Macaca fascicularis: one gene and its partners. The protein of the gene in region 3 interacts with the protein of the main gene of each other region in a pairwise test. Links are inferred from orthologs where the notes say so. Each region holds a gene or a part of one and is shown on either strand. Other genes may lie near its edges. The genes, in order: MAD2L1BP, SNRPB2 and HOMEZ.

Region 1 (2,756 bases), on a different chromosome or scaffold from region 3:
TTGCATCCCTTGGGAGTCCCTTCTGTCAGCACTTGGTATTCAGCTCTCTTGAACTCTTAATTCTTCACCTTCTTTCTTTTCTTTTTTTTCTTTTTTTTTGAGACAGAGTCTTGCTCTGTCGCCCAGGCTGGAGTACAGTGGCGTAATCTCGGCTTACTGCAAGCTCCGACTCCCGGGTTCATGCTATTCTCCTGCCTCAGCCTCCCAAGTAGGTGGGACTACAGGCACCCGCCACCACGCTCAGCTAATTTTTTTTTTTTTTTTGAGACGGAGTCTCGCACTGTCGCCCAGGCTGGAGTGCAGTGGCGCCATCTCGGCTCACTGTAAGCTCCACCTCCTGGGTTCACGCCATTCTCCTGCCTCAGCCTCCCGAGTAGCTGGGACTAGAGGCGCCCGCCACCACGCCCGGCTAATTTTTTGTATTTTCAGTAGAGACGGGGTTTCACCGTGTTAGCCAGGATGGTCTCGATCTCCTGACTTTGTGATCTGCCTGTCTCGGCCTCCCAAAGTGCTGGGATTACAGGCATGAGCCACCGTGCCCGGCAAGGCTAATTTTGTGTGTTTTTAGTAGAGACAGGGTTTCACTGTGTTAGCCAGGATGGTCTTGATCTCCTGACCTCATGATCCACCTGCCTCGGCCTCTCAGTGCTGGGATTGTAGGCATGAGCCACTGCGCTCGGCCAACTCTTCATCCTCTTTCTGTCTTCCAAAACTTTGTGTTTGCATTTGACTAGTGTTGTGTAGTCTCCAGTTCTTTGCCCTTGGGAGTTTTCTTTCTCGGTCTTTCCTCTTCTTTCGTTCATTTGTTTCTTAATTTCTTTTCTCTCATTTTGTAGTATTTCAGGTGGAAGCGCAAATAAGCATTGTTCAGTTTACTATGTTTAAGTGGAAGAACAAGTTCAGAGTCATGTTTATTAGACCAAATAATCCTTATTCCTGTTATCACTCCCTGTATAGCAAAAATTTGTTGTCACTTTGTCATACTACCAAATCTCTATTTTAGTTGTTTATATCTGGATATTCTCCACCTTCAGAACACTGTGTTTGCTGTTCTATATGTGGGAGAATTATGGTTTTGTACAAATAATATATTTTCCTTTTCAGTATAATGCCCTCTGATAAAACACAGTGTTGTGGCTGTGGCGGTTCATTGAGCTAGAAATTCAGTCCTGTAAGTCTATGTACACATCCCAGCAGGGTTCTTTTCAAAGGGCATTAGCTTCCCCCTGCCTTGTTCTTCTCTCCCGCCATTCTTTGTCCTCACAGGCAGAGGAGATGCTGAAGAAGAAACCTCGGGCCACCACTGAGGTGAGCAGCAGGAAATGCCAACAAGCTGTGGCAGAACTGGAGAGTGTCCTCAGCCACCTGGAGGACTTCTTTGCACGGACACTAGTACCACGAGTGCTGATTCTCCTTGGGGGCAATTCCCTAAGCCCCAAGGAGTTCTATGAACTCGATTTGTCTCTGCTGGCCCCCTACAGCGTGGACCAGAGCCTGAGCACAGCAGCTTGTTTGCGCCGTCTCTTCCGAGCCATATTCATGGCTGATGCCTTTAGTGAGCTTCAGGCTCCTCCTCTCATGGGCACCATCATCATGGCACAGGGACACCGCGACTGTGGAGAAGATTGGTTTCAACCCAAGCTCAACTATCGAGTGCCCAGCCGGGGCCATAAACTGACTGTGACCCTGTCATGTGGCAGACCTTCCATCCGAACCACGGCTTGGGAAGACTACATTTGGTTCCAGGCACCAGTGACACTTAAAGGCTTCCGCGAGTGAATGAGTGCTTCTTAATTATAAAAACACAATGGCTGAATTATCTTTCTTCATGTGGCACTGAATTACCCATCTAGTTTGGAGCTAGAGTTTCTTCCTGGTGAGAGACGAAGCAACTCTCCTTCTGGTTGTCTGCCTCCCCTCCTCAGGTTTCCTGATGGGCTGATGGCATGTGGCGGTGACTGTAATCATTGCTGAACAACATCTCTTTGAATCAAAGGTTGATTTTCCCAGAGGGTGCTGGGTCAGGTATTTCTGTTAGGGGTTGTAAAGCAAAGATGGGTCCATAGACAGAAACTCCATGAAGGTGGCCCTTTCTGCTCCTTGCTGTGTCCTTTCAGAATTTTTCCCAGGAACATAATGTGGATGTGACTTATGAATTTAAATATAAAATAAATAGATTCTTATTATATTTTCCTGAAATTCTTTTGACTTAAAATAACTTGTCAGGTTTTAGGCTATTTTGTCTTTCTCCTTGGCCTCTTCTGCTTCAGGGCGTCTCAAAAATTTATTATATTTTTCTTTTTTGAGATGGAGTCTTGCTCTATCGCCCAGGCTGGAGTGCAGTGGCATAATCTTGGCTCACTGCAACTTCCGCCTCCCAGGTTCAAGGAATTCTCCTGCCTTAGCCTTCGAGTAGCTGAGATTGCAGGTGCCCACCACCACACCCAGATAATTTTTGTATTTTTAGCAGAGATGGGGTTTCACCATATTGGCCAGGCTGGTCTCAAACTCCTGACCTCAAGTGATCCACCTGCCTTGGCCTCCCAAAGTGCTGGGATTACAGGTGTGGGCCACTGTGCCCAGCCTTAGGATTTTTTAATAATGATTTTTTCTCTTCTTCAGCCCCAGGCTAATCTAGGAAGTTAAGTGACTTGGCCAAGTGCATATGTACTTTGATAACACAGTTAGGACTAGAGTCCTCATTAGCTATCTTTTAGCCAATGTGCTTTTCTTATCACATACAGATTTTTGTGATG
Region 2 (3,754 bases), on a different chromosome or scaffold from region 3:
TTCTTTGACTGAGATAGGAATTTCTCATTTATTTCTTCTTATTTATTTATTTATTTATTTATTTCAGAGATGAGATCTCACTGTGTTGCCCAGGATGATTTCAAACTCCTGGCCTCAACCAGTCCTCCTATCTCAGCCTCCGCAAATGCTGGGATTACAGGTGTGAGCTACTACACTCAGCCATTTCTTGTAGTATTAGATCTATATAATAAAAGGATGTTTTTCTGTGATCCCTTAACATTTTCTACACTCATCTGCATGTTCAAAGCATATTTGTTTACTGTTGCCTAGTTTTCCATGTCATTCATTCATTTATCCAATACATATTAATTATCAGTCACTATTCTCATTACTAAGGGTACTTGAGTGAACAGAGCAGACAAAATCCCCACCCTTAAGAAGCTTATATTATTTTCAAGTTGTTGCAACTTTAGGTGTTTTTTAAAAAATAAAAATTCCCAGCTGATAAAACTAACTTATTTGACAAGCTACCTGCCTCACCAATATAACCAAGTTATAGCCAGAACTCAGAAATAACATTTTTGAGCCTCACCAATATAACCAAGTTATAGCCAGAATTCAGAAATAACATTTTTGAGCATTTATTTTGTGTCTGGTAATGTGCCAACCACTTTACATTTATTTTAGCTCATTTAATGCCTACAACAACTAGAAGGAGATACTATTAGGATCCCTATTTTACAGACGAAAAGAGTGAAGATCAGAGAGATTAGTTAAGCAGAGGGTACAAGATTAGGTTCCACTTGACTCTTAACAACCATTTCATATTCCAGGTGATGCTTTACAGACATCTGATGAATGGATGAATGAATGAAAGCATGGGAATTTTTTTGGGAATTCCCATTCAGCTTGGCACAAATACTAACTCGTTAGACTACCCTAGAAAAATCTAGACTTTTTGTGGGAAGAAAAGAGTGGGAAGGGTGGTAGGGAATTATTTTTTCGAGTGAGTTGAGGCAGATGATCTTACAGATGATTGGGTTCTACTCAGCATGGTTGCCTTATCTGGTGAGAGATGAGAATTGGGCAGACACCAGTTCTGTTTGCCCTGGGCCCTCAAACTGGGTAGCCTCTGAGATTGAAGTTCATCAGCAGAGTGTTGGAGAACAGTTACTGCAGAGCCCCAGGAATCAGAGGAGACTTGGAGGCCGGAGGAACCGGCTATCCTAAAGGTGATTTTAAACCGGGGCAGCCAGAGCCCAAAGAAGGGCGAAACCAGGACTAACTGCCCCGTAGCATGAGAGGCAGAGCCTGTAAAATTACATAGGATTTGTAAAGGTGGAAGGCACTCTTGCGCGGGGCAAAGCTTCGCAAGGTCGTGGTAAGGGAAATGATTCACTCTTCTTCCCTATTCCCTCGCAGCATTGTCCCCACAAACCCCGTCCCTTTCCCCATTTCCATTTCCGGACTCTTCTCCTGCCCGCAGGGCATACGCACGCGCAAAGAGATTACCTACGGGCCGCCAGAGACCAGGAAGCATCGATCTGCTCTGCGCTCGGCTTGTAGACTTGTGGGCGCTCGATTGAGGAGCGTGGCAACGTTACTTCCGGTGCCTGGCTCCGTTTCCTGCTTTTGGTTCTTACGGGAGACTGCGTAGGCCTTAGGTGGGTTCGTGCACCTTTTACCTCGCTGTTTCGGTTTTCCTGGCTCCTCGGCCCTTCTCTCCCCTGTTGCAGCTGGGAGCGGACGAAGCGCGAAGCTGGGGTGGGGACGCGTTTGGCCCGGATTTGGATCTCGGAGTACCCGAGTAGGCTGGGGGCGAGGAAGAGATGGGAGACTGACTCAGGGGCCGGGCATCGCGTGGCAGCTCCCTCGGACTTCGTTAGGGGGCCTCGGGCGAAGGTGCTTGTGTCTGGAGAGGCGGGAGGCTTGCGCTTACGAAGTAAAGGATAATGTCCTTCTGCTTGTGCGAGGCGCTGACAGTTCACTGCGCTTTCAGGTGTCTTCCAGCGGTTTCCTTTTGGTAGTGGCGGGTAATTCAGGGTGCCCCTGTAACAGTCCAGCCCACGATCAAACCTCGCATGAAACCCCGCAAGAGCCTCCCCTTTGTCCCCCTACCTTCAGTTTGACCTCTGCCTCAGTCACTTCCCTTTCGTCGTCTCCTTTGTGACCCTTGCCGCTTCTCCAGATTTCGATTTAGGGGGTCCCAAGGCTTGGAGAAGCGTTATGTTTTACCTGTTACCTGCACAAGTGCAGCCCCTGCTTGTAGGCTCTTCCCTTGTCAATCATCCAATGCTATTCACGTACAGTGGATGCTCCGTAAATATTTGTGAGATAAAGGAATATGTGGGGCACACAAGGAAATCAAGCAGCTTCACAGTTTGCAAGTAAAAACCACGTTAAAAAAATGCAATAGTGTGGTGGACGAGGAAGAGAAGTGTAGAGGAGAAAGCAAGGGCTGAATTTCCAGGCTTGATGCTTATTAGCTGTGTGACCTTAGGCACGTTCCTTAACTGGTAATAGCTGTTAATAATAGCTACTTTAAGTGCTTACCGTTGATGCAAAACTGTGCTAGAACTCATTTAGTCTTCTGAGCTCGGTTGGGTAGGTTCTGTTACCATTCTCATTTTACTGATGAGGACCTGACAGATTAAGGAACTTCCCTCAGGCAAACAGCTAATAAGAAGCATAAATAGGATTTGAATTCACATATGGTTGGTACTAGAATCTGAGTTTAACGGTCATGCCACACTGCTGTCATTGAGCTCCCTTCTTTCAAGTCGGTTAGAGGTAACCTTGGAGTCCAGACAGCTTGGTGATACTGTATACAAATTAAGTAATAGGTATGGAAGGACTTTGTAAGTGCACCCAAGAAGTAGTTGGCAAACTCCATTAATGTCTAACCTTATGATTTTCACTGGATGTACATTTGCTACTTGGTCATTTTTCTTCAAATCTACATTTTAAATTATTGAGGAGGTGGAAAGAAAATATCACTTGTCATAAGTGAAAAGTAAGTGTGAAAATAAATGTGTTGAATTAAATGATGTTACTAAAATCTGGCTAGGTATTGGTGCTCCAAGTTTTGAGCATGAGAAACTCTTCTCCTTTTGTATGAAAAGGAGGGCTAGTAGGTGCTGGAGGTACACTAAAGGCTTCAGCCAAACTCACATCATCTAACAATTGGGATTGAAAGAGAAGTGAAAGGTTAATAATTCGTGTGTTGTGTCCTTATGCCACAGTCCAGTATAATTTACTCCTTCCTTTTTATAACAGATTTTTTACTGTCTCCTTCTGAAGAATTTAACACAAACATGGATATCAGACCAAATCATACAATTTATATCAACAATATGAATGACAAAATTAAAAAGGAAGGTAAGTGCTTTTAAAAATACTTGTTCACTACTAAAATGTGTTTATTTACTACTGTCTTAAAAATTGTATTGCCTCAAAACCTCTTACCTCGTCGTCTTAGTGCCTGAAATAATGGTTTATCCCATTACCTATAGGGATTTGAAGACTTTTAAAAAACAAAAATAGGTAGGAATTGACAGTGTGTACAGTCTGTTTCTACTCATAGATATAATGGTTTCATCTGACTTATAAAATTACATATAGCCAATGGGAATAGTATATGTTTTTATAAACATTAAATATATATAACTATAAATAAGTGAATGGTGGGGAGGCAACTCAATGCAGTATCATTTTATGAAGACTTTTGTCATTATCTTATTACCAATGACTTGTTTCTTTTCTAATTTGGACAGAATTGAAGAGATCCCTGTAT
Region 3 (3,654 bases):
CCTTTCGTCTGGGTGGGCTTGCTAAGAGACGGAGGACCTATTCCAATACCAACTTGTTCTGGAGCTGGCATTGGAGGAGGAGGCACCTCCTCTGGGGGCCGTCCTGCATGATGAGTAAAAGAGAGAAGGGATTTGAAATGGAGTTGGTCCCGACGGTAGACTACTCGGGCTCGAGTTTCTTCTATTTCTTCAGATGACCAGCTAATACCACAGCGGAGGCGCTGGGCCATAAACCAAGTCTTGACTTTCTCCATCTGCAACCCATAACGTAGGCAGAGAAGGGCAATGTCTGCTAGGCTGGGATAGGGAAAGTAGCTGAAGGTTTTTAGCAGGTGTTCATTGCTGTCTAGCTCACTGGTCTGGGCTGCTTGGGTCCACACAAGCTGTAGCTCCTCAGAGATTGGAGGGAGGCAGATGAGCCCCGCTGGTGAACTACTGAGACCGCTGGCCTCTTTATTAGGAGGCATGGTGCTTTCTGATTTGTGCCCTTCAGAGATAGCTGTAATAAGAAAAGAAACAGCTCAATCACTGGGTCTCCTCTTCTGACACATTGCTCAATTTCTACCAAACTAACTGCTGGACACCAAAACAATTAAGTTTCTATTTGCATCATGTTGTATTGCTTTTTAAGTGCTTCAACAGTTTCTTATTTAATTTTCATAAACAAGTCATCAGACCCTGCTTTAATTCTGATTTTCTGTGGACTAAAGTCCATAGATGTTAAATTACCCCAAGTCACATGACTGGTGAGTGTTGTTCCAAGAAAAAAATCTGTCTTTAAAGCCAGTCATGGTGGCTCATACCTGTAATCCCAGCACTTCAGGAGGCCTAGGTGAGAGGGATTGCTTGAGCCCAGGGGTTTGATACCAGCTTGGGCAACATGGTGAGACTACAAAAAATTTAAAAATCAGCTGGGCATGGTGGTTCGTGCCTGTAGTCCCAACAACTTGGGAGGCTGAGGCAGGAGGACTGCTTGAGCCTGGGAGGTCGAGGCTGCAGTGAGCTATGCTTGCACCACTGCACTCCAGCCTGGGTGATAGAGTGAGACCCTATCTAAAACAAACAAAAAAAGGCCGGGTACGGTGGCTTATGCCTGTAATCCCAGCACTTTGGGAGGCCAAGGCGGGAGGATCACAAGGTCAGGAGATCGAGACCATCCTGCCCAACATGGTGAAACCCCGTCTCTACTAAAAATACAAAAATTAGCTGGGCATGGCGGTGAGTGCCTGTAATCCCAGCTACTCAGGAGGCTGAGGCAGGAGAATCATCTGAATCCAGGAGGCGGAGGTTGCAGTAAGCCGAGATCAGTGCCATTGCACTCCAGCCTGGGTCACAGGGTAAGACTCCGTCTCAAAAAAAAAAAAAAAAAAAAAAAAAAAAATCTGTCTTTAGAGGTTAAGAAGGAAAACTGATCCTGATACAGTTTTTTTTTAGTGTGTTTGTGTGTGTGTGTGTGTGTGTGTGTGTTTGAGACTGAGTCTCGCTCTGTTGCCAGGCTGGAGTGCAGTGGCACGATCTTGGCTCACTGCAACCTCCACTCCCGGGTTCAAGCAATTCTCTGCCTCAGCCTTCCGAGTAGCTGGGATTACAGGTGCCCACCACCACGCCTGGCTACTTTTTGTATTTTTAGTAGAGATGGGGTTTCACCATCTTGGCCAGGCTGGTCTTGAACTCCTGACCTCGTGATCCACCTGCCTCTGGCCTCCCAAAGTGCTAGGATTACAGGTATGAGTCACCACAGCCAGCTGGTGGGGTTTTGTTTTTTTTTTAAGAGATAATATTGCTCTGTCACCCAGGCCACCCAGGCTGGAGTGCAGTGGCACCATCATAGCTCTGATACAGCCTTCATCTTTCCTATTCAAACCCACTTCTAGAAGCTATCCACCAACTCTCACCTTCTAAATTCATGGAACAAGAATCACACAGTGAAGACTCAACCACAAAAACAAGAGGAGCAATAATTTCAACTTGTTTGTGTGTGTGTGTACATTTTTGTTTTTGTTTTTTCAAGAGACAGGGTCTCACTCTGTTGCATAGGCTGGAGTGTGGTGGCGTGATCATGGCTCATTGCAGCTTTGAACTCTTAGGCTCAAGCAATCCTCCCACCTCAGCCTCCCAAGTAGCTAGGACTACAGGTATATGCAGCCATATCTGGCTAATCTTAAAATTTTTTGTAGACAGGGTCTCACTATGTTGCCTAGGCTGGTCTCAAACTCCTAGCCTCAAGTGATCCTCCCACCTCAGCCTCCCAAAGTGCTGAGATTACTGGAGTGAGCCACTGCACCTGGCCCTGAGAACTGTTTTTTTTTTGTTTTATTTTGTTTTGTTTTTTTGAGCAGGGAGGGTCTCGCTCTGTTGCCTAGACTGGAGTGCAGTGACATGATCTCAGCTCACTGCAGCCTCTGCCTCCTGGGTTCAAGTGATTCTTGTGCCTCAACTTCCCGAGTAGCTGGGACTACAGGTGTGCGCCACCATGCCCTATTACATTTTGTATTTTTAGTAGAGATGAGGTTTCACCATGTTAACCAGGATGGTCTCGAACTCCTGACCTCAAGTGATCCACTGGCCTCAGCCTCCCAAAGTGCTGGGATTACAGGCCTGAGCCACGGCCCCTGGCCAGAACTGTTAATAACTTTTTTTTTTTTTTTTTTTTTTTTGAGACAGAGTCTTTTGTCACCCAGGCTGGTGTGCAGTGGCGCGATCTTGGCTCATTGCAACCTCCACCTCCTGAGTTCAAGCAATTCTCCTGCCTCAGCCTCCCGAGTAGCTGGAATTACAAGCGTGCACCATGATGCCCAGCTAATTTTTGTATTTTTAGTAGAGACGAGGTTTCACTATTGTTATAAATAAGGTTTCGGTGCCACAAAAGAAATAGCAATCGAATATAAAATTTTCTTTTTTTTTTTCTTCTCAGCAGGGCAATTTACTTCTATAGAAGGGTGCGCCCTCACAGATGGAGTAATGGTGAGCACACACCTGGACAAGGGAGGAGAAGGGGTTCTTACCCCTGACACATGTGGCCCCTGCTGCTGTCATTCCCCTATTGGCTAGGGTTAGACCGCACAGACTAAACTAATTCCGATTGGCTAATTTAAAGAGAGTGACTGGGTGAGTGGTTTGGTTATGGCAGAGCAGGAAATCGGAATGAGTCAGGGTGGAGAATGAGTCAGGGTGGAGAATGAGTCAGGGTGGAGCAGGTAATCGGAATGAGGCAGGGTGGAGCAGGTAATCAGAATGAGTCAGGATGGGGCAGGTAATCGGAATGAGTCAGGGTGGAGCAGGTAATCGAAATGAGTTAGGGTGGAGCAGGTAATCGAAATGAGTTAGGGTGCAGCAGGCAATCAGAATGGGTCAGGGTGGAACAGGTGATCGAAAAAGGTTGCTTTACAAGGAAGTTAAGTTTAAAAGTAGAAGGCAGAGAATTGAACATACTGATATATTGATTCTTTGAAGAGAAATTTAGAACTCCTATCTAATGCTCTGTTGGCCAGGCTGGTCTCGAACTCCTGACCTCAGGTGATTCACCTGCCTTGGCCTCCTAAAGTGCTGGGATTACAGGCATGAGCCACCGCGCCCAGCCACTATTTTTTTTTTAGAGACAAGGTCTCGTTATGTTGCCCAGGCTGGTGTGCTATGCATAGGTGCAATGATAAT

The links.
Region 1: the proteins of HOMEZ (region 3) and MAD2L1BP interact in binary tests that used the Homo sapiens proteins (3 or more experiments, as listed by UniProt). The two-hybrid records come from large-scale screens. The link is inferred for Macaca fascicularis from reciprocal best matches to the Homo sapiens genes HOMEZ and MAD2L1BP.
Region 2: the proteins of HOMEZ (region 3) and SNRPB2 interact in binary tests that used the Homo sapiens proteins (3 or more experiments, as listed by UniProt). The two-hybrid records come from large-scale screens. The link is inferred for Macaca fascicularis from reciprocal best matches to the Homo sapiens genes HOMEZ and SNRPB2.

The regions. Positions count from the first base shown.
Region 1 is NC_088378.1:127,883,448-127,886,203, reverse strand, and holds the end of MAD2L1BP (MAD2L1-binding protein), read left to right. Parts: intron 1-1,104; exon of another isoform or gene 1,105-1,179; coding exon of another isoform or gene 1,180-1,266; coding exon 1,267-1,779; 3' UTR 1,780-2,188; downstream 2,189-2,756. UniProt on the Homo sapiens protein: May function to silence the spindle checkpoint and allow mitosis to proceed through anaphase by binding MAD2L1 after it has become dissociated from the MAD2L1-CDC20 complex.
Region 2 is NC_088384.1:70,554,931-70,558,684, reverse strand, and holds the start of SNRPB2 (U2 small nuclear ribonucleoprotein B''), read left to right. Parts: upstream 1-1,589; 5' UTR 1,590-1,768; exon of another isoform or gene 1,769-1,960; intron 1,961-3,237; 5' UTR 3,238-3,275; coding exon 3,276-3,339; intron 3,340-3,734; coding exon 3,735-3,754. UniProt on the Homo sapiens protein: Involved in pre-mRNA splicing as component of the spliceosome. Associated with sn-RNP U2, where it contributes to the binding of stem loop IV of U2 snRNA.
Region 3 is NC_088381.1:91,047,276-91,050,929, forward strand, and holds part of HOMEZ (homeobox and leucine zipper protein Homez), read right to left. Parts: intron 500-3,654; coding exon 1-499. UniProt on the Homo sapiens protein: May function as a transcriptional regulator.